3 linked regions of the Xenopus tropicalis genome follow. The protein of the gene in region 1 interacts with the protein of each later gene in a pairwise test. Links are inferred from orthologs where the notes say so. Each region holds a gene or a part of one and is shown on either strand. Other genes may lie near its edges. The genes, in order: lnx2, tubb and srsf11.

Evidence for each region.
Region 2: the proteins of lnx2 (region 1) and tubb interact in a two-hybrid assay, tested with the Homo sapiens proteins (3 studies listed by BioGRID and IntAct). The link is inferred for Xenopus tropicalis from reciprocal best matches to the Homo sapiens genes LNX2 and TUBB.
Region 3: the proteins of lnx2 (region 1) and srsf11 interact in a two-hybrid assay, tested with the Homo sapiens proteins (3 studies listed by BioGRID and IntAct). The link is inferred for Xenopus tropicalis from reciprocal best matches to the Homo sapiens genes LNX2 and SRSF11.

Annotation. Positions count from the first base shown.
Region 1 is NC_030678.2:155,297,921-155,305,987, forward strand, and holds the start of lnx2 (ligand of Numb protein X 2), read left to right. Parts: upstream 1-3,116; 5' UTR 3,117-3,293; intron 3,294-8,067.
Region 2 is NC_030684.2:75,228,764-75,237,076, forward strand, and holds the start of tubb (tubulin beta chain), read right to left. Parts: upstream 4,128-8,313; 5' UTR 4,073-4,127; coding exon 4,016-4,072; intron 932-4,015; coding exon 823-931; intron 627-822; coding exon 516-626; intron 3-515; coding exon 1-2. UniProt on the Homo sapiens protein: Tubulin is the major constituent of microtubules, a cylinder consisting of laterally associated linear protofilaments composed of alpha- and beta-tubulin heterodimers.
Region 3 is NC_030680.2:82,768,275-82,775,883, reverse strand, and holds part of srsf11 (serine/arginine-rich splicing factor 11), read left to right. Parts: coding exon 1-62; intron 63-4,759; coding exon 4,760-4,893; intron 4,894-7,609. UniProt on the Homo sapiens protein: May function in pre-mRNA splicing.

The sequences.
Region 1 (8,067 bases):
TGTATGGCCAGTTTAACTGGGAGGGATTACCAGTCACATAATGGGAATAGTTACTGTGATTCCAAATATATTGAAGTAAAACAGATAAAAGTTATAATGCCTGTACACATGAGCATCAATCAATCATGCATTTATGATGCCTTTATATCAGTACATTACAGTGCATCACAGCACTGATTGTAGACAAATAGATCAAGCAGCATAGTGAGCTTAATTCTGAGATAATAAATTGCTAGACTCATAGTAAAGCACATTCACTGATATCTATGTTGACTGATAATCTTGAGAGAGGATTTACCATCACCTTTAAAGAAGAAGGAAAGTTAAAAACTAAGTAAGCTTTATCAGAAAGGTCTATGTAAATACAGCCATAAGACGTAATGCTGCACTGAGTCCTCTATCAAAAGAAACACGGGATTTCTTGTCTCTTTTTTTGTAAACATGATGTTCCAGTGTCTGATTCCTCTTTCAGAAACATTCTTAATTCCCGTGGCCAGAGTCTGTGCAGTTCTCTACTCTCTCCCTCTCCTGCTCCCCCTCCCACCAGAATGCTAAGAAATCTCTCCCCTCTTCCTTAGAAATGTGTGATCTCAGCTTTAACGGCTAGACTGCAGGAAGGAAGCTACTTAAAATGTCAGCTGCTATCTTAAGCAAATGGAGAAACCTTCTAAAGCTGTTTACTTAGGTATGTCAATGCTTTCTTCAGAATAAATATATTGTTCTAGGTGGCACTAATGTGGCAAATCTATTGGCAGTAAAATGCCAAAATGACTTTCCTTCTCTTTAAATGGGAACTGAAGCCAAAAAATTCTACCTGCGCATGTGCAAATGCATCAAATGATGTCACCAAATGCAACTTTTTACATGAGGGTAAAATATTTGTCACACTGCATGTTTAACAACTGAACTATATTAAGTTAATAATGTCATAAAAAGAAGTTTATCAACCCCGTTGGGAAGAGTGGAAGCCATAAAACTTATCTGCCACTTAAGCCTCCAGTTGGATTCTCTGAGAACAATTCCGCAGAAGAAAAGGCAAAAGAATAAATTGCAACATTTGAATTTGAATCTGCACTTAAATTATTCACTCTCCATTACATGAAGTCCTGCAAAAAGTGATTAAATATGAGTAGGCTTAACTGCATAAGAAACTTTGCAATTTCAACACTCATTTAAAAGATTATCTCAGCCTGCCATATATTGTGCTGCAAGGGGCCATGCTCATTATTGCCCACACAGAAACCTGATATTACACTTGGTAGCTATTGTGGTTCCATATATGGTTGCCACCTGGCTGGTATTTTACTGGCCTGGCTACAACATTTTCTGCTTGATGCCAATGTTATTTACAGGGAAAAAAGTAACAATATAGGAAGGCATTTTTTTCAGAAAAGGTAGAAACCCTAGTTGCATACTGAAATTGAAGTGCCATATACCTGAATGTGAGTATTGAAGTAAAACTTCCATTAACATACAGGGCAGTAATGTGGGTGTTATAGTTTAACAAGACCTGGTATGTAACTGATGACTCGTCACAGTGCTGCTTCTGTAGCTGCTAAATGTCAAGAATTCCAAGGGACAAGCCCTATTTTTTCTCATTCTGCTAAAACAGACAAACTGCAGAGAGGCATGTAATTGCGCTGAATGCAGCGATCACTGCATGATAAGATTCGTACCACATTATGGTGGGGTTCACTGAATCTAGGATTCAGGGTCGGACTGGGCTGTCGGGACACCGGAAAAATACCCAGGAGTCCCCAGCTGCCCAGACCCGACTCTATTGCCGCTTCCCCTGGCCGTCGATGTCTTCTCCTGACGCATTTCACATACGCATGTTCAGGGGAGGACATCGGGCAGGGGCCCCTGTGGGAGGTTAGGGGTGATTGGAGGGGGCCCCTGTGGGAGGTTAGGGGTGAGTGGAGGGGGCCCCTGTGGGAGGTTAGGGGTGAGTGGAGGGGGCCCCTGTGGGAGGTTAGGGGTGAGTGGAGGGGGCCCCTGTGGGAGGTTAGGGGTGAGTGGAGGGGGTCCCTGTGGGAGGTTAGGGGTGAGTGGAGGGGGCCCCTGTGGGAGGTTAGGGGTGAGTGGAGGGGGCCCCTGTGGGAGGTTAGGGGTGAGTGGAGGGGGCCCCTGTGGGAGGTTAGGGGTGAGTGGAGGGGGCCCCTGTGGGAGGTTAGGGGTGAGTGGAGGGTGCCCCGTGGGAGGTTAGGGGTGAGTGGAGGGGGCCCCTGTGGGAGGTTAGGGGTGAGTGGAAGGGGCCACTGTGGGAGGTTAGGGGCGAGTGGAGGGGGCCCCTGTGGGAGGTTAGGGGTGAGTGGAGGGGGCCACTGTGGGAGGTTAGGGGTGAGTGGAGGGGGCCCCTGTGGGAGGTTAGGGGTGAGTGGAGGGGGCCACTGTGGGAGACGCAGCTGGCGGAGGCACCTTGGGGGGTGCGGGGCCCTCTGGGGTGGTAGCCCCGGTGGTCCCTGAACCCCCTAGTCCAACCCTGCTAGTATACGGTTCTGGATTCGGCCATTTTCAGCAAGATTTGGATTCTGTGGAATTGAAGTGCCCGGTGGAACCTATTTCTCTTTGACCCTAGTTTCCATATGGAAATTAAGGTTCGGATTCAGTTCGAAATTTGGTCAAATCTTTCAGGAAGAATTCAGGATTCAGTTGAATCCCAAAATAGTGGATTGAGTGTGTCCCTAGATTAGGGTCAGTTGTATCAGGGGCCAAGTAACCCATCGTGTGGGAAACCCACCCATGTAAGGGGAGCTCATACAAACTCCGAGCAGGCAGTGCCCTGGCTGAAATGGTTAATACCCCAGCGATACCAGCTGCCAGGGTTAATGATTCCACCACCGGGATATAGAGAAGCATAGGGGAATGTTGCAGGTAGACTAACCCTACCTTGCATTTCCCAGTGGCTTACTCAAGGTTACGCAGACACACTAAATACCCAACTATAAGCGCAACCTGCCACCAGGCTATGGCAACAGCATGAAGAGGTTAAGGTCCTACTTCGGGCATAGGCGGAGGACGCTGTCAATTAAGCGCGGCCCTGCCATGTATAGCGGGATGGGCGGGTATAATGGTTTCCCCGGTAACCAGAGTCTGGGTTGCGCTGCAGCGGAGCTTTGGCAGGAGTATGTCAGTAGCAGCAGCACTAGGAGGAGGGAGGGAGGGGGAGTGAGCCGGCACCTCTCCCACTCAGGCATATTGGGAGATCAGGACAGTGCTGTGGCGCTCACACATGCGTGTCCTTTGATTGCACAGCGCCCGACCGCTGCAGGGGAAGAACATCCCACGCAGGGGTAAGATATAACTTTGCTGCTATTTTGGGGGTGGGAGGAGGGTTGGGGGGTTGGAGGGAGCATTGTTCTGGCTGAGGCGTGAGATTTGCGGGGGGTGTGCATTGTGTTCTCCCTGGCATTGGGCAGGGCTGGACACAACATTCCATGCACAATGGTCCTTAATGTCAGTAGCACATATAGATGACCTTTAACATAAAGGCTCTTTCAGGACTACAACTCCCATAATCCCCACCTAGGGGGGGGATGCTGGTAATTCTTCAACAACTAGACTGCAAAGAATGGCCACAGTTTCTTTGTATTGTCCCTTTGCTAATAACACTGTGCAGTGCCCATGATGTCCCCCATAAAATGAGTTCTCCCAACATTGATTGTACTAGGTTGCATGAACTTTCAGTGAGGGAGTCATTTGGTGTGTGTATGGGGGCATGGTGCCAACTGGGCATGCAGAACCATTCTGGAGTGGTCATTGTGGGCAGCAGAGGTTCTGGTCCTCAGCAAAGGAAAAGTTGTGTATTGTATTGGGAATAATGTTCTATACTTGAGACAGTCCCTTGGGCTATGTTGTTTATTTCCAGGGGAAATTAAATATTGCCTGAAGTAAATAGAAAATATTAAACATAAAATACATTTGGGTATATATATATGTATATAATACGTATGTATATATAACGGACATACTGATACTGAGATTTTCAAGTCAGTACAAATGCCCTGTGGCTGTTAGATCAGGTACCTCTTTGAATGGTGGATCATTTCTTGTGCCTTCCATGGAAAGACCTTTCATTAATACTATGGCTGGACTTGCAGCGAATAGAAATTGAATCACGCTTAGCTGAATGCTTTTGTTTTGGTGGGGGGCACGATACAGACAGACCTCTCTTTCCGGTACAGGTGGGTGCCCTGCATTACTGCCTGTGCCCCTGTCACTAACTCGCCCACTTCCCAGTTTGATTTCTTCAATGAGATCTGGCAGCTTTTACTGTCCATTGTGCATGGAATGTCAGTGATAAGCGATATGTTGCATTTAAAGACTTTCCTTTGTCTATGATGATCAGGGAAAGCCTAATGTAAACACTATGGTAACATCATGGTTAATTCATTGTTTATTCTCCATGTGCAAAACCCATTGCACGGATCCATTTTCTTCTGGTAGTAGATGTACTGTAAAGTGATACCTGGCAGCTGCTGATCTGTGGGAGCGTGTGAGTCCAGCCGGCATCGATTACTCTCTGAGATCAGGGCTTGGCTGCTAACAGACTGTATCATGCTTATGGAAACATTAACATTTATACTGGCAGATGCTCTCGGTGCTGCCCTGCCTCTCACTTTACTTATTGCTGGCATCATATACTCCTGCCTTGCCTCCCGAGTCTCCCTACCAATATAAATACAAAACTTTTGTTTATGAGAGATGGAACTTGTGCCAGGAGACCAAACAATGCTCTATGGATCCCGTGTTCTGCTTTGTTATGGGAGCAGGTTCATTCTGTAACCCAATGGCAGGGGCCACAGGGCTCAATAGTTTTGCTTCCCTTGTGTGAGTCACAGTTTGCGGATTGGGTTGCCAACCCTGCCTGTCTTCCCCCCTCCCATTCCGTAAACTGAGAGTGACCAAAGTCTGACACGCTAGGGCTGCCAGGGGATAAAGATCACTTATTGAGCAGAGGATTCACGGCGTGAACAAACTGGGCACCATATTTATCGTGTGTATGTTTGTGTGTGAGAACTTGGAAATCAGCAGCTCAGTGGGAAATCTGTCCCTGTTGCTCACCCCAAACTGGGGCAAATCGCTCAGATTCCTTCATTTTCTGCGAGAGATTTTTCCTTTCTTTCTGGCACTTTGATAAATTGATTTTGTGGAATACTATACAAGTCAGAGAGGTTTCTCTCGCTGGGGAAATAGATCACTGTTAAGTGACTCTCCTGCAGAGGGGCTGCAGAGCTGAAATGTCTCCCTTCCTTTTCCTATATTTATGTTTTAAAACACTTCCTGTACAATGTTTCCCATCATGCACATGGCTAGCAGAGAGTGATGTAGTCCAGCAACAGCAGAATTTGTGTGTCAGAATTTGTTGGAATAAGGCCAAAAATGTTGTGTGAAGCCTTGAGTAATGGGTGTCAGTCTCATAACATTCATGGGAAATTGGTGCCAGCAACAGTGAATATTAGAATCTAGAAAGGGACTGTGGCTGGGGGGTAGCAGGTATAGTAGGAAGAGATGGTGCCTATAGTAGCAGTGGGGGAATAATAGCCTCTGGGAAGGGACTGGGGCTGTGGCATAGCAGGTATAGTAGGGAGAGATGGTGCCTATAGTAGCAGTGGGGGGATAATAGCCTCTGGGAAGGGACTGTGGCTGTAGGATAGCAGGTATAGTAGGGAGAGATGGTGCCTATAGTAGCAGTGGGGGGATAATAGCCTCTGGGAAGGGACTATGGCAGTGGGATAGCAGGTATAGTAGGGAGAGATGGTGCCTATAGTAGCAGTGGGGGATAATAGCCTCTGGGAAGGTACTGGGGCTGTGGGATAGCAGGTATAGTAGGGAGAGACGGTGCCTATAGTAGCAGTGGGGGGATAATAGCCTTTGGGAAGGGACTGTGGCAGTGGGATAGCAGGTATAGTAGGGAGAGATGGTGCCTATAGTAGCAGTGGGGGGATAATAGCCTCTGGGAAGGGACTGTGGATGTGGGATAGCAGGTATAGTAGGGAGAGATGGTGCCTATAGTAGCAGTGGGGGGATAATAGCCTCTGGGAAGGGACTGTGGCTGTGGGATAGCAGGTATAGTAGGGAGAGATGGTGCCTAGAGTAGCAGTGGGATAAAAGCCTCTGGGAAGGGACTGTGGCTGTGGGATAGCAGGTATAGTAGGGAGAGATGGTGCCTATAGTAGCAGTGGGGGGATAATAGCCTCTGGGAAGGGACTGTAGCTGTGAGATAGCAGGTATAGTAGGGAGAGATGGTGCCTATAGTAGCAGTGGGGGGATAATAGCCTCTGGGAAGGGACTGTGGCTGTGGGATAGCAGGTATAGTAGGGAGAGATGGTGCCTAGAGTAGCAGTGGGATAAAAGCCTCTGGGAAGGGACTGTGGCTGTGGGATAGCAGGTATAGTAGGGAGAGATGGTGCCTATAGTAGCAGTGGGGGGATAATAGCCTCTGGGAAGGGACTGTGGATGTGGGATAGCAGGTATAGTAGGGAGAGATGGTGCCTAGAGTAGCAGTGGGGGGATAATAGCCTCTGGGAAGGGACTGTAGCTGTGAGATAGCAGGTATAGTAGGGAGAGATGGTGCCTATAGTAGCAGTGGGGGGATAATAGCCACTGGGAAGGGACTGGGGCTGTGGGATAGCAGGTATAGTAGGGAGAGATGGTGCCTATAGTAGCAGTGGGGGGATAATAGCCTCTGGGAAGGGACTGTGGCTGTGAGATAGCAGGTGTAGTAGGGAGAGATGGTGCCTATAGTAGCAGTGGGATAAAAGCCTCTGGGAAGGGACTGTGGCTGTGGGATAGCAGGTATAGTAGGGAGAGATGGTGCCTATAGTAGCAGTGGGGGGATAATAGCCTTTGGGAAAGGACTGTGGCTGTGGGATAGCAGGTATAGTAGGGAGAGATGGTGCCTATAGTAGCAGTGGGATAATAGCCTCTGGGAAGGGACTGTGGCTGTGGGATAGCAGGTATAGTAGGGAGAGATGGTGCCTATAGTAGCAGTGGGGGGATAATAACCTCTGGGAAGGGACTGGGGCTGTGGGATAGCAGGTATAGTAGGGAGAGATGGTGCCTATAGTAGCAGTGGGATAATAGCCTCTGGGAAGGGACTCGGGCTGTGGGATAGCAGGTATAGTAGGGAGAGATGGTGCCTATAGTAGCAGTGGGGGGATAATAGCCTCTGGGAAGGGACTGTGGATGTGGGATAGCAGGTATAGTAGGGAGAGATGGTGCCTATAGTAGCAGTGGGGGGATAATAGCCTCTGGGAAGGGACTGTAGCTGTTAGATAGCAGGTATAGTAGGGAGAGATGGTGCCTATAGTAGCAGTGGGGGGATAATAGCCTCTGGGAAGGGACTGTGGCTGTGGGATAGCAAGTATAGTAGGGAGAGATGGTGCCTATAGTAGCAGTGGGGGGATAATAGCCTCTGGGAAGGGACTGTGGATGTGGGATAGCAGGTATAGTAGGGAGAGATGGTGCCTATAGTAGCAGTGGGGGGATAATAGCCCCTGGGAAGGGACTGTAGCTGTGAGATAGCAGGTATAGTAGGGAGAGATGGTGCCTATAGTAGCAGTGGGGGGATAATAGCCTCTGGGAAGGGACTGTGGCTGTGGGATAGCAGGTATAGTAGGGAGAGATGGTGCCTATAGTAGCAGTGGGGGGATAATAGCCTTTGGGAAGGGACTGTGGCTGTGGGATAGCAGGTATAGTAGGGAGAGATGGTGCCTATAGTAGCAGTGGGATAATAGCCTCTGGGAAGGGACTGTAGCTGTTAGATAGCAGGTATAGTAGGGAGAGATGGTGCCTATAGTAGCAGTGGGGGGATAATAGCCTCTGGGAAGGGACTGTGGCTGTGGGATAGCAGGTATAGTAGGGAGAGATGGTGCCTATAGTAGCAGTGGGGGGATAATAGCCTTTGGGAAGGGACTGTGGCTGTGGGATAGCAGGTATAGTAGGGAGAGATGGTGCCTATAGTAGCAGTGGGATAATAGCCTCTGGGAAGGGACTGTAGCTGTTAGATAGCAGGTATAGTAGGGAGAGATGGTGCCTATAGTAGCAGTGGGGGGATAATAGCCT
Region 2 (8,313 bases), on another chromosome or scaffold:
ACCTGAGAAAAAAAAATAAATAAATTAATAAAAACGGACAAGGGTGAGTGAATTTGTACTGAAAAACAAAATGTAGCAAAGGAACACAAGCAAGTAGATGATCTAAGCTGTACAGTTTAGTGATGCAATTTTTTTTCCCTTCTAACAGGTGACTAAATTCCCTCTAATAACTACTCTAATGATTCTATTAAAATAGACCTGTGAAGTTTCCCTCTGGTGGACTAGATTCAGCTCTATATAAGCCTTTAATAAATATGTCCCACGGAATGATGAGTGTGGGTACATTTAACATGTTAACCTCTTAAAACAAACAACTTTTAATTTATTTGCAATGTGATATGTAGCAAAGCTATCCAACAGAACAGAAGCAGGACACTTCAGTTAAACAAGGATAGGGACTATATTTGGTATAAATCCACCTTCAAACCAAACACATAATAAAAACAAATAAAAACCTTGAAAAACCATGAAAAGAAAAAACGGGCAAAAAAAAAAAATATAAAAATATGCCTTACCAAAGACAAAGTTGTCAGGCCTGAATATCTGTCCAAAGGGTCCTGAGCGCACAGAGTCCATAGTTCCTGGTTCCAGATCAACAAGGATGGCTCGAGGGACATATTTACCACCTAAGAAGAAAATCTGTGTGTCAGTGGAAGTAACAAGGAGCTGGCACAAAAGGAGACTCAAGAAAAAAAATTCCTTTTGTTTATTAAAATCAGTTTCTCCAACTAAGCCTGTTGAGAGTGGTACTTTTTTGTTGCTTTGAACACATTTTACCTACACCCACAGACATAAACATGCATTTATACAAACGCTTCTCACCTGTGGCCTCATTGTAATAGACGCTGATTCTGTCAAGCTGCAGATCACTGTCTCCATGATAGGTGCCAGTGGGGTCAATACCATGTTCGTCACTGATCACCTCCCAAAACTGAGAATAAAATTTACAAATACACTTTGTTAATATACGGAAAGCTGCCAACCAAAGGTTTGATGCAAATCGTGTTACATTAGTTTGGATAATTAAAAAGGCCAAAGGCAGCTGGATGTTGCTGCTTTACAGAACTAAAATGAAAAGGGAAATGGTAACCACATCCCCTTCAGATCTTACACAATACAATTTTTTTCTCCGATTCCCCCTTATCTTTTTTTCCTCCTTCCTACATTTCTGCATCTGTTTTGCAAAAACAACACACTCTGTGAATCCATGTGATGTCTATGCCTCCATCCAATATGGAGTTCTATTTTTATATATATATATATATATATATATATATATATATATATATATATATATATATATATATATATATATATATATAATAGGACTACTTTATCTCTACCTATTTCAGGAATCTATTTCCCTGCCTTTTAAAAACCACAAACTATTACGCATTCATTTTCTCTCTCTGCCTTTTCATTTGTAATTCATACTCCTCCCTGCATTACTGTTCTGCTAAGTATTTAACTCCCTGCAGTCCAATCCTTTTCTACCATTTCCAACTCAATGGGTTTGCTCTTCCCTCCCCCACACTGACAGGAAGTCAGAGAACAAGACAGCCACACAAGCCTAGTGTAGGCGAGACAGGAATGTGACACAAAGGATATTCATTATAAAGCATGACAGGCAGTGACATACTATTTAGAAATATGTCATGTGCACCCGTATGCACAAAAATACTGGATATTTGTTTAGTAGATATACAGAATATGTAATGCTGACAAATGGGCAGGTCTCCATAAAACTAATAGAAATATAAATGTTCTGCAGATTCAAGTGGAGACACATATGTATATTAAACATACTATAATTATCATTCCCAGTAACAAGCCAGGATAATGATATATCTCAGTGGGTCTATTTTGCACAGGGTAAAGCATATCGGGTCATTTGGCAAGGAAGCGCTAAAGCCTAGGGTGTGGCATTGCAGCTGCGCCTGAATGCCAGGAATAGACTGGGACACCCTTACAATATGGATCACACATCCGTTATATCAGCCATATTGGCATCCTGTTAGAAATCTGCTATATCCTTCACTCCAAGAGATTCTAAATTCTTCCTTTAACTAGCAATAAATGTTTCACACAGTACATATCTCCTGTTGTCAATACTATATAATTTCAGATAACCATGAAGTAAAGCATCTATATTTACCTTGCTATACCTTATTTTTGTTTAAATGTGCATTTATGCATCTCTTCCCTTAAAACGTCATACACAATAGTGGGGGTTGCTCCCCCGTTAAAGCCCTTTAAGAAAGAAATTATTTTCAACACCACAGTACAGACCTTGGAATTATATAGAAAGGCAATAGACAAGCCGTTCTTTATGCAGGAAGCACACCCACCCTATAATCCCTGCTCTAATAGCATTACTAGGCAGCACTGCTGCACTGCAGATGCACATACGTCACCGCACTGGGAGCTTTCCATGGGGAGGTGGGGGGGACCCAAATGGGGCACAAAGCTGCCACAGCCCATTCGCCCACTGTTTCTGTGTATCGATTAACCCGAGACGAGAATATAATTAGTGCGTTTTGGGGCTGCTGCCCTCCATTTTGATGTATTCAAGCACAACGGGACAAAGAACAAAGGCCGGGGTTGCGAAAGGGAGGGGTGGTCGGGGAAAAAAGAGCAGGCGCCATGTAACGCAAAGCTTACAGAACAAATGTAGCAAATCCCAATTAATAGCCCTCTAATGTCACATGATGTTATGTGGCTTAGATTTTGCCACCAAATAAAATTGAATTTAAAAAAACATTTTTTTATCACCAAAAAAATCGTCAAAAAGGCCTCTGTCTGTTGCGGATGGATATTTAGCACTTCCCTTTATAACAGAGCATAAAGGCTGCATTTATCGCAAGTAAAATATTTTCTGCCCCGCCCTGACAATGGGTCGTTCATGCATATAACGGGATTAAGTAACGGAAATGGAGTTTAAACTGTATCATTTTTACCTATACACATATATAGAAAAATGTAATCCTACCCACGTATATGTGTATAGATACAGAACGAATATAGCGGATATGATACGTGTATGATTGAGCGGCTGCCCTGGCCACTCCCTCTCCCGCCATAGCCCCTCATCCCAGTACCACACTAGCCACGTTATTCATTATTATACGCCGTGTGTGCAAAATGGCAGTTCTACACGACGATGTGCTATGCAGTCTTTCCTGCCTGCTACCGTACAATTAAATATTTTCCTGGATATGCCACTTTATTTTACGACTAAAGCGCGCCCACGTGTTAATGAAATCGCTCGTCTTCGGTAATATACCGCGTTTGTATTATTGCTATCACTACATGTATTTCATTTGGAGGGAAGGCACTTACTGTTGGATATTTTGCCGCACTGGAACAAGAGACACAGCCCCTTCCCCTGAGACGGAAAGACTACACATCCAGCGCCATAATGCACTGCATCTTTCATGAACAAATCAGGGCATAGGGATTTAGCATGGCATACAGGTAATTGCCACCCCCATGCCAAGTGGAGCTGCCCTCATGCTAAATCCCTAGGGGAGAGTCGTGTAATCACGTGTTGCACTAAAAGCCGGAGCCCTGGCCACATCATTATTCAGCACAGAGGCGCATTTGCAGCAGGGCGTGGAGGTTTATATGTGATATAGCCTATCGCCTACCTACCCTGTCAGGCGCAGCAGCTGCACGATTATATTTAACATCGGATCGTTTTGTTTTCAATTAACAATTTTCACTAAAATGACATAATATCTACTGTATTACAGGTAGGCTCCTGGTCATTATAAAGGAGCGAATTAGTAACGCTTTCACGAGTCCCCGCCAATTTAGACATCTGACAAAAGGCGGGGACTATAATCTGATACTAGCCGCTACACAGCACGACTGCGAACTGACATTGCCCACTGACTTAAAGGCTGTCATGGCATAATTTATATTGTCGTTATGTGGATGTAATAATGTCAATATTTCGGGGTGTAGGGTAGAGGAATTTTCATATCACTGGAGAGTAGGCGAACCCTGATCTCACCTTAGCGCCGATCTGGTTGCCACACTGGCCGGCCTGGATGTGTACAATCTCCCTCATGATTCAGGCGTAATAGATGTTCGGAGGATGGAACGTTGGAGACAGCGACGTTCTGGTGTGGAACGTCCGAGACAATGGCGAGAGCAATAAGGGAGGTAGCCGGTTAGTAGAGGAAGAGGGCGGGCTCTGTTGGGAAGGGGAGGGGCAGAAAGGGGCACATCGGGGGCTGGGAGTGGCATTTCTGAGCAGTAGCTGTAGTGCGGTGGATAGCAGGGCTTGTAGCTGTCGTGATATTGGTTATTACATGTACAAAGGCTGCTAAGGACATTTGCCATAATTGCACATTTAGTGATGGTTAAGCATATATTTCAGGCTTAGAATGAGTAGGTTAATTTTATTTCAGAGGCTTATAAACCTAGCAGTGCTGTCTGATACCGAACCCAAACGAACAAGCAATCACTCAGAATTGGTACAGCCTATATACAAAGACAGGGGCAGCCTCCTTGAGATACCGCAGTATTGGGCTTGGTAGGTAGGGCGGGCAGCTGCCGGAGCCTGCAATTCTTACTGCTGTGTCTTTGTATTTCACAGCAACATTGTATTACAATTTCTCATGCCTATGTACCATATCAGGGAAGGTGCTACACAATATGCACCCTAACAAAGAGCAAGTTCCTTGTGGATATAGCAATAAAGTATCACTGGATTTGCAGCTGTTGGCATACACGGTGTAGTTCGGTTCTCGTGGTTCTGAGGATATCATTGGCTGTAAATCCAATTAATTATTATTGAGTTCCATTTATAAAGCAGCAACATATTTAACTTTACATTCATAATAATCAACATACAGATACAGGCAAACCAATACAGTAGGAAATAAAAGCCCTGCAGGGATATGTGAAACACAAGGTATGAAAAAATGTAACCAGGGAGACTAAAGGCAACCTATCTCCATTAATATTGTCTCCCCTACAGTAGGTATCAGCTAACAAAGAACTGCTTGGGGGAAACAATATTTCCTTAAGAAAACCCCCATTATGAATGTTATGCCCCCCCTTAGCTAGGAAGCTAAGTTGGGGCACACATGCACATAACAAGCAAGTGCTCCAGCTTTATCAGTATGGATATGCATGTGATGTAGGATAAGGGGACATTATGTGCAGACATGTCCAGTCATGACCATCCCTCACAGTGTGGGGGGCATAATGCTTGCAAGGGGAGTTTTGAAAAAATAGTGCGGGCATTTGATACCAAGAAAGGGAAAGTTGTGCTCAACCACTAAATTTTAAGCCATTAGGCAGGGAGCAATTAGGTTGTGACCACAAAATACATATAGGCAACAAGAGAGGTGCTCTGCACTCACCCATTATAGATTTAGGCTGATGACATGGCATGAATAAGATACGCTCGGGTATACACATAAAAACGTGTATTTCAGCTACATGTGCCTGCACTGGAGCGTTTTTCGGCTTGCCGAGAAAACGCCACGTCTGACATCAGCCATATGAAGGACATTAAGACATTCTGTGCATCAAGTTAACAAGAAATGCCCTCCTCCTTTAAGCAAAACAGGGATTATCCATATATTGCAATATACTTCAAGCTACCCAACTATATGAAAGCCATCCCCAGTCTGACCAGTCCTACACTGACTTTTCTGATTCATTAAGGATTCTACTGCTTTAATAAACATTTAACAAATTGAGTTTTACCTGCACCTTACTTGCTTTCAAGGTTAAAAAAAAAAAAATGCCAAAATGGTTGCTGCTTTTATTGTAGCCCCCACCCTTCCCAGCTACAATCAGGTGATCCCAATGGAGCCAATAAAAGGGCAACCATTTTGGTGTTTTAAACTTGAAAACAAATAAGTTGCAGGTAAAAGGTTTTTTTTTTGGTAAAGCGGATGTGCACCTTTCCAAAGCTTTACCAGAGTGGTAAGACTTTACAAAAGAAGAACTTTACCCATTACAATCTTTTTTTTTTTTTTTTTTTTTTAATGCTTACTTTTTATTATTTAGTTGGTAAAAATTCTCTCTTACTATGTCCTCTTAGATGGCTACCCCTCAGTAGGAGGGGGTCATGGACCCCCTCACCCACCTACATGCAGAGACCGTTAGCAGGGAAATTTCCCAGTCGACATCTAGGGTAAGAGCTTGGCTGCATCAGGCAACTAGGTCGCAATGCAGAGAAAAGATAAGAAAACGCCCATGTACAGTAGCTCTTAATGCCGCTCTAGGAGACTGCTTTACCCTCTCTCTCTTACCGCTGCTGATCTCTGCATCTTTGCTTATCCCTAAATGGGTAAGCGACTTGTTTTACTGAATAAAGGATGCCTATTTTTAATTCATTATAATGAGTAAAGATCTTATTTTGCAAAGTCCTATGACTCTGGTAAGGCTTTGCAAAATGTGAACATCCCATTTGCATTAGAGACCTATTCATTTAAAGAGGTAGTTTACCTATAAATTAACTTTTAGCATGATGAACAATGCTATTCTGAGACAATTTGCAAGTGGTCTTCATTTATTATTTGTGGTTTTTGAATTTTTTAGGGTTTTTTTTCAGCAGCTCTCCAGTTTCAGCTACTGTCTGGTTGCTTGGAACCAAATAATCCTAGCAGCCAGGCAGTAGTTTGAATGAGAGACTACAACACGAATAGGAATGGCCTGAATAGAACGATAAGTAATAAAAAGTAACAAAAACAATGACCTCCATTGTGACCTCCATTTAAAGGAGAATAAAGCCTAACTAAAGAAGTAGGGCAGAAATATTATACATTATGTTTTGGGCGTTTGTACCATGCCCAGGCAACTACAGCCCTTTAGCAGGGAGGATCTGTGCATCCAAAAATGCCCCAGTAACTTCCCATCTGATTCAATGTACATGCTCTGTGCTGCTGTCAGTTACTGAGCTTAGGGGCCAACTCAAAATATACTGCAGTAATAGAATATAAATGTAACGGTAAAAGGCTGATTAGTAATTCATTTAAAGTCACATTAAATAACAGATCTGAAACCAGGGCAACTGCATCAGAACTAAATAATTAACTCGGCTTATATGACAGACATATCTCATTTTCTGCTTGATAATTTGCAACGACCCCTAAGCTCAGCTTCTCAACGGCTGCTCGGAGCCCACTGAGCATGTGCACTGTCCCGAACAGTTCTAACAGAATCCAAGATAGGAAGCTACTGTGACAACTGTAAAGACCTATATCATTACTACTATAGAGATGCTGAAACTTTAAACCAGTCCAGTCAGTTTGTTATATAATTTCTAGCCATATTCATTTTTAGGGTTTAGTTCTCCTTTAAGAGCTGGAAAGATTATTTGCAATGCCAAGTGTCTTGAGGGGGCAGGGGAAGAGGGCCAGGTAGGGTTTACTACTCTGCTCCGGGCCCTTCCAAAGATTAATTTTTGCGAAGGGAGGGGAACAGTAGTTACACCCCTGTCTAAAAGTCTAACCGCATCTCTGTGTGATAGGCCGTTTAAATGTTTAGGGATGCTACACAAGTTGCTAAATACAGTAAACGTATGGTGAGTATATAGCATTTACTGTAGCCTGTGCAAGCCACTTTTTTTTGCTCAAGTACAGATATAGACAATATTAGCAAATAACATGTTAGTGCTGTGTTATGGCTAATGTCCCACGGAGAGATTTAGTAGCCTGCGATACATCTCTGCTACCCCGGGCGACTAATCTCTCCGAAATTACTTCAGCTTTCCAAAGGTGCACAAAATTTCCTCCTGCAGGCAACTTCACATGACTTTGGAAAACTGAAGTAATGCATAGGCCTTTCCACAGGCGATTCACTTTGTTGCCAATGGAAAGGGCCACGCATAACTACAGTTTTTTTAAGTCGCCTGAAGCTGTCACAAGAGGAAACTCTGCAGATGTGTAGGCCTTTCCACCGGCGATTCCCTTTGTTGCCCGTGGAAAGCCATTTACTATTTTCTTAGCAGGACAGTTCTTGCAGTAAGCCTGTGTGTTAGCCCCTTCATGTTAAAGAAATCATAGGATGGCAGGGTGTTAGCAGGGCACTCAAATTAGTAGACCCTTGGTCACCTAGGCAAAGGAACTTGCCAACATGTTGAATGGGGCCCAATGCAAAAACATAATACCTAAAACATATATGAATTGCATTCCTTGGCTGAATGGGCAGAACAAAACAGTTATTTGTCACATTTTGTTATCCTTTTGCTTAGGTTTTATATACTACCCTTTATTACTACTATCCCATCCATTAATCCTTGTAAATATTCAGTGTCATGTTTCCAAGTAAGTTTTATTTAAGTAAAGG
Region 3 (7,609 bases), on another chromosome or scaffold:
CAGATGAAAACCCTGTTCGGGTTCCTGGGAAAAATCGAGGAGCTCCGACTCTTTCCGCCCGAGTAAGTGCAGCGTTCGAGATAAATTCAGTGCGTGGAAGCGAGTGTTATGGCGGGCAGGCCTGCCTTGTAAGGGCCTTGGTTTGTCGTCTCACGTACACAGCAGTGTGTTACAGGCTTAGTGCTGGAATCTCCAGGCCAATAGCGCAGCGATTATAGGAAATGACTCCCCCCATTATTCTTTCTTTTTTTGGTTATAATGATAATTATTGTGCAACAGTTGATGTGTCGCAGTGTGGCACCTTGATTTAGAGAAGCAGCATGTTTGCTTTCGTTATCGCCTGCATGTGAGCTATTCCCAACGCATGCTGCTGGCTAGATTATTTCTGTTTGTTTTAGAACAGTTCTACAGCTTCAAGCAGCACAATGTGATAGAAGTTTGTAACATTCAGTCTCTGCAGGTGTGCCATTCCTGCCCTAACTGAAATGCAGGGCACACATCAAATAGCAATAATGTATGGCGGTTCGATTTCTTGTTCTGTATTCAAAAAAAGGATGTTTTCAGTATATATTCTCCTGGCACCACAGAACTAACGCATTGATGTAGGTTTTAGGCTGCCTGGTAGTGTTGTGCAACTTTACCTCTCTCTAATGATAAAGCTGCCATATCCAGCAGTGTATTATAAACAGTGCTAATAATTTATTTAGTGTTTTTCAATATCAGAACAAACCAGACAAAACAAATGAGTTGTACGATAGATACCCTGTTCTAAAAGGCTTTTCGTTTAGTTCATTAGTTTGAGCCGGGCTATTTGTCCACTCACTATATCTGACTCTGTAAACATGTGAGCAAGCTCTATAATTGTTTGTAGGAAAGGCACACTACTGTAAAACAGGGTTATGTTGTGGACATCTAATGTTGTTTTATTTATTTATTTTTTTATCTAGCTTATTGGCTGGTGGCCATGTAATTTCTGGAAGCTGTTTGGGAATTCTGATTCAGAAATTGCTGAAATTTGTTTGAATATCACTGGTTAAGAATAGAATACTTGGTTTAGAGTACTTGTGTAAATATAGTTCTGAACAAACACCAGTGCACATATATACACACACATACAGACCTAACAATACACTAACATATATAAACTATACATATCATTACCTCTACTAACTGTAGGTCTTAAGATGACAATAACCTTGGATATTATACAAGAGATCATCCAAACTATTCTTAAAGCACTAACATCACCCAGAACAGCATTTAACAATCTTTTTAATTTCCATAAAGAGCCACCAACACTTCTTCAAATGAAAGTTCTGCTCTAGTCAAAGGGCTGGCCTCTGTTGCATTGATCTTGTGGTGGGGGAAAAAACATCCCCCATTATCTGTCTAAAATGTCCTCCCATGTGCTTGTAGTTTATAGTTTGCTTTCAGATTTGTAAGTGTTGCATCATTGATTCTCTAACATTGCATATCACTAGATGTCACTATTTCCTTTTCTACAGAAACAAAATGTGTCTCTGCATACAAAGAAAGATTATACAGTTGATTTGAGTAAAATTTAACAGGGAGCTTTATAGTGTTTCCTGACAAATGTAGCAATGTGTAACAATTCGTTCTTTCTTGCAATGTGAATGAGAAAATAGCTGATTAGTGGATCAGTGGGCCTTGCATAGATATTGACAAGGCAGTTAAGGTGGCCTTACACGGGCCAATTCTAGCTGCCGATATCTGTCCCTTAGACTGATTCGGCAGCTTATTGGCCCGTGCATGGGCACTAAAGATGGGGGAGCCCGATCGATATCTGGCCCCAAATCAGCAAGATCTCGATCAGGCAGGTTTGAAAATCAGTCGGATCGGGGCTGCATCGGCTCTTATACTTATCGGATTTTGACGCTTAAATGCAGACTTTTGAGTTTCCACGCCAAAATCTACTCAGTGTAGCTCCAGGATGGTTCAACAGTGTAATTGAAACCCTGAAGCTATGGAAATACTTCAGTGGATTGGCACATTTTAGGAAACAAAATACTTGAAATCTTGCCATATGCATAATGACAGGTGGATTGAATACCTGTCACCGCACATGTAATCCGCGGGTAGGTGCCCGAATCAAGAAATTAGAAGGTCAGAAGACAATTGAACACTTCATTTTACTCAGTGCAAAATAATACATGTTCAGGTGATATTTTAAAATATAGCACATTCCAGGTTCCCATCCTCCCTGGATAAACCCTTAAAAATAAAACCATATAAGTATGGTTTATATTCTGAGCTGTACTTGGTTTTTGAGTATGATGCCATGTATCATTTGGGTGATGTTTTAGGTTTTAAGGAGGCTATGCATTGGACAGTACTCTCCGGTATCCAAATGATTGGTCCATGGGTTGAATGCTATTCTTATGTTCATTTGAATTTATAACCATTCACCAACAGGTCAGATCATCTGTGATCCAGTAAGCATATATGTCCAGATGGTCTTGCAAAGTGATCACAGTGAGCCAAGCTGGGTCATGTACTGCCAGCTGTAGATGCAGTGACACCGTTAACATGCTCAGTGCAGTCATGGTAGAAAATATTACTGCATTGCTTATATAAATTGTTTTTTTTTCCTATAGGATTTTTGACATATTTAAACAGATTCATTATTTTGAAGTACTTGATAGCTGATATTTATATTCTAGATGAATAGTCACAGGACTACTAAACCTGTTAATTTTTGCTACATGGTATGCTTACTGCATAGCTGGCTCTCTACTCCACTGATATACCAGCTCTATGCAAGCAGATTCCGAATCTTCTGACCTGGAAGTTACAGATTCCAGTAGGTAATTCTACTTTCTACATCTGGTTCAAGACCAGCCTTTTCAGGATTCTAGCATTTACAAAGCCAGTGATAAATTTGGAGGGTTGTTTCTTTGTGCAGACCTTGTGTAACAGCAATGTGTATAGCATATGTTTGCTATAGCTGCACTATGTAGAAATGATTTAACAAGCATTAAGAACTTTTAAAAATGTATTTTTTTCTCACTTAGCTTTTCTAATTATGATAGTTACTAAATATTGGGTAAACTTTAAGCAGTTCTGTTATTGTAAATGAACCCTCACTCATTTTTGTGCTACATTCTTCCCTGTCTGATGTGGTAGATTGCACAGGCTATGAACCTGCACAAGTACTGGCACAGCTGGAAAAAAAAAACAAATGGCACAATGGAAGCGGGACTTTATATTTCTGGCAATGGCACTCTGGGTGCTGTACATGGTATCACATATGCCATGCTCTGTGATGGAGGTAGAAATGTTGGGCAAAATAAATACCTTGCCCCCTTATTTAATTGAAAATCGTTTTGGTCTGCGCTTTTAACTTGATCACTTATGGGTTTATTAACATGTTGGTGTAAAAAAAAAAAAAATTGCCCATTTCTAAATGTTTGTGTGTGCGTTGCTATAAAAATCCGCTTAATTGTATTGTTCATAATACAGTGTACAATTATTATTTTTACCATATGGAATTTAAGTGTAAAGAAAGCTCTTTTTTTCCCTCTATGGGGTTTTAAGAGAAATATTTTAAAGTGAATTTTTGCCATTGTTTAGAAGGTAATTCTACATCTCATCTTATAATTATATATTTTAAAATAGGCCCCTTAATATCCTATTGTTTCCAAACAGGAAGGGAAGTACACAAAAAAATTATCTGCGAACATAGCTTGCTCAGTGTAGTGGTTCTGTCCAATTTCCTGCTTTTTTGTTTCCTCAGCTTTTCTTTTAAAGGCCATTGCAGTCCGAATGTTAAGTCTTCTATGTTAAATCTTCTTCAGCACGTGCAACAAAACATTTCCTATCTATCAAGATCAGTCCGAATCTCTACTGGTACATCGTTTGAATTGCATGAATTCACAAAATTCCAGATGTTTGGCTTGCAGAAATTCAGACTGATCTTAATCATAAAGGTGATTTCTAAAGTTTTGTCTTCTATACTGCAGGAGATCATGTGCCATTACCATAAAGAGTAGCAGCAACAAAGTTGTTGTAGATTGTGCCAAATTGTGAACAAGTGGAAACCATCTTTTGCATGGTTTACCTCCCCAGTTGTAGCCAAACAACATTTTTTGGCCAGCACTGTCGGGTATGCCATACAAATAGCATTTGACACTGTTTACAGTTCTGCAGCATTGGTGCTTGAGTTTTGTGCCTGCTGTTGTGTTTTTTTGTTTTTTTAATACAAATGTAAACTTCATCTCTTTGAGATAAGAAACTTTCTGTTAAAACTTCCATATAGTTTTTAAAAAAAAAAAGAATGTAAAACTTCACTATACCTCTCTTAACAATGGCCTTTGGTGCTCAGCCTTTGTGTGATTCTTTCTGAAAGACAGTTGAAATACAACATTTAGTTAAAGGGCACACAGACCAATGATTTATTAGAGCTTACTGTCCATCAAAAACTATCACGAACAGCCTGCATGAAGAAAAAAAACAGTTACTGATAGGTTGGTGAAGAGTAACTTCATTATTTTATAAATTGTCATTGGTTGTCTTTTTTTTTTTTTTGTAGCTACAGTTTAATTCCAATAGCACGGTTATCATGAAAGTATTTACTAACAGAATCATGAACTGTAGAAATGTATCACTTCTGTAAAATCTCAAACTGGGTAGCCTGGTATGGATATGTGTTTCTGTTGGTATGCATGTGCATCCTCCATCCATCCAATTCATTTTAATTATAAACTGATGTTTTACCTGATTCTTTCCTTTCCTTTTGTAGTGATTCTCCTTTGCCTGTAACATCTCGTGTCTGTTTTGTAAAGTTCCAAGATCCAGACTCAGCAGTGGTTGCACAGCATCTGACTAATACAGTGTTCGTTGACAGAGCCTTGATAGTCGTTCCATATGCAGAAGGTTTGTACCTGCTTAAGTTAACTATATCACTGCTGGGAAGGGGGATTTTATTGGTCCATACTTTAAGTGAGCACAGTCTGCATGCTACTGTTTTTTATTTTTTTTCTTTTTTTTTCTTTTGTATGGAATATCCCTGGTATACTGAGCATTCCCTGTTGCAAACACACTAAAGCTTTGATTACCTTTAGGGCTTATCTTAATTTATGCTGGACCATTGGCATGTTTTTTTACTTATGTATTCTATACAATGCTATATAATATCCAGACATTGTAAATTTTCAATATTTCTGCCATGGTGTTCTTTTTCCAGTGCAGCAGCTTGTCCCAATCCATTTCCATTGTATTTGTGGGAGAACTTTGGTAACCCTAATAAAGACCTTGAATGATATTCTGGTAATGCTAAGTCTACCATGGATTGATTGTGGTCTGTCAAAAAACTTTCAGAAGGGTCTGGATGGGAGCTGGGCATTTAAGTTTTTTCTTTCCCTCTCACATTTGTATCCTTCTGTACCTCAAAATACTTGCTAAATAATGAAATCTTCTCTCTGTTATTTGTGTGTGTGATTTTTGTAGTGGAGAAGGCATTTGCAAAGCCCTTCCTGATGACAGAAAAACTGGGTCCTCTGCTGCTTCAGGGGATTCTAGACATTAACTAGACGGCAGCAAGCTCTCGCATCCCCAAGTGTTATTCGTGGTGTAACTACTTATTAACAATATTTTCTTTCCTTAGATATAAGTGTATGACTCTCTTACTCCAGCATAGGCCTTTGCTTGGTTGCATTGGAAAAACTGCATCCTTGAGTGTAGTCCTTTGTAATGTTACAGTTGGATAACTGTATTTGATAAATTAGGTACTTGTGCTCTTATTGTAACAATCCTTACATTAAATCCCTGTGCTTGAAAATGATTCAAGCCCTTTAAAATGTCCTATAGCCATTGTTAGAATGGCAAAATCTCTTAATTAATCTGAAGGCATTTTTAGACATTTACATACACTGTATGCCCACAATTTTTATCCTGAAATCCTAATGTACAGTTTGTGCACTACACTGTATGTTACCTTTTCCCTTGTGTTACGGGAATATTTAGAGACCATATGCCTGTTGCATATCTTTACCTAGCTTCTATAAACGATAGTAAACATTGAATCTATATGGCTATTTCTGCCATTAAAGTTATGTCAGTGTTATCTCCTGTCATTTTTTATTGCATAGTAAGGTATGTGGTGTTTGGTGACTGAGTACACTGCCGACGTTAAAAATTGCAGAGATCAGGCAAAGGTAGACAACTAAAACAATGCACGCCACCTTACAGCTTTCTAACAAAAGTGAACATGACACTGCCCAATCAGGGAATTTGAGTAAGCCACAATTAAGTAAGAAATCTTGTCCTGTTTTTTCAAAACCAATATAGTCCTTTATTTTCTGTGTAAAACTTGCTTTTAATGCAAGGATTATAGAAAGAATGATTCTTTTTCATAAAAGGTTCATCTTCTATTCAGTACTTCATTCTTGTAAGTAATCTTATAAAAAAAAAAAAAGTCAGACGTGTTTGCCATGTATAAAGTTACTATGTGCTATTAGGTTGCACTTCTCTTCTTAAACATTTTCTAAAATGAGACTGAAAGCCCACATTCAGTACATGAATGATTAGAAACTGCAGAACAATCATGGTTGAATGAACACTAAAAATATTGTGGTATAAATAGTTCTAAACTGGCATGTTCTTCGTGATCCATCCACCTCTACAACTGTACCAAATATGTTTGTAAGGCTGTTCACCTCAGTAACTGTGGCACAGTGAGTTTTAACAAAGTTTCTATAAAATAGCAATTTTTGTTTAAAAAGGCAGTTTGATAATTAAGAACTTAGACTTTTAAAGGACTTGCAACACCAAACATGAAAGGGGTTTTTGTGCATTTAAATAAAATGTTACCTTTTACTGGCATGTTTCAGAGGCTTAGGGGCAGATTTAGTAATCCACGAACGGTCCGAATGCGTTTTTTCGTAATGATCGGTATTTTTGTGACTTTTTCGTATATTTTCCGCGACTTTTTCGTCGCCGTTGCGAAAAAATTGGATTGGTTTTTCCTCCGTTTACAATCACTCAATACGAAATAGTTTACAATCACTCAATACGAAATAGTTGAGCAAATTACGATAAAGTCGTGACGACGACGAAAAGACGGCAAAATTTTCGTTTCCAATCCGAATTTTTCCCTTTCAGGATTCGTGGATTAGTAAATCTCCCCCATAGAATTTATATAAATAGGCTCTTGTGTAGCCATAGGGGCAGTCATTTGTGCAGTAGAGCAAATGGTTCCAAACAAATAACAGATGAACTCTTTATAATACCATGATTTTTTATTTAACCAGCAGATAAACTGGTCAAATGTCTGAAAACATTTCTCATATAAAATAGGACACTTTCAAGAAATTTGAAGCTTTTCGTAACTACTGACTGGCCAGATTCAAATGTTATATTTAAAATAAAAATTCTCTATGGTCTTTTAAAATATTTTTTCCATTGAGCGAAGAATATATTATATTAGTTTTTTTTGAGGCTGTTGGAAAAGTTTTTCCAAAGCCAGTTTTACCCTTTTATTAAGGGCATATGCTGTACAGAGTAATATCTTTCTAATGCTGTATTTGCACATGCAATACAGTGCTTGCACTTATCAGTTAATTATTAGGAACATGGAGGAAATTAAATAGTA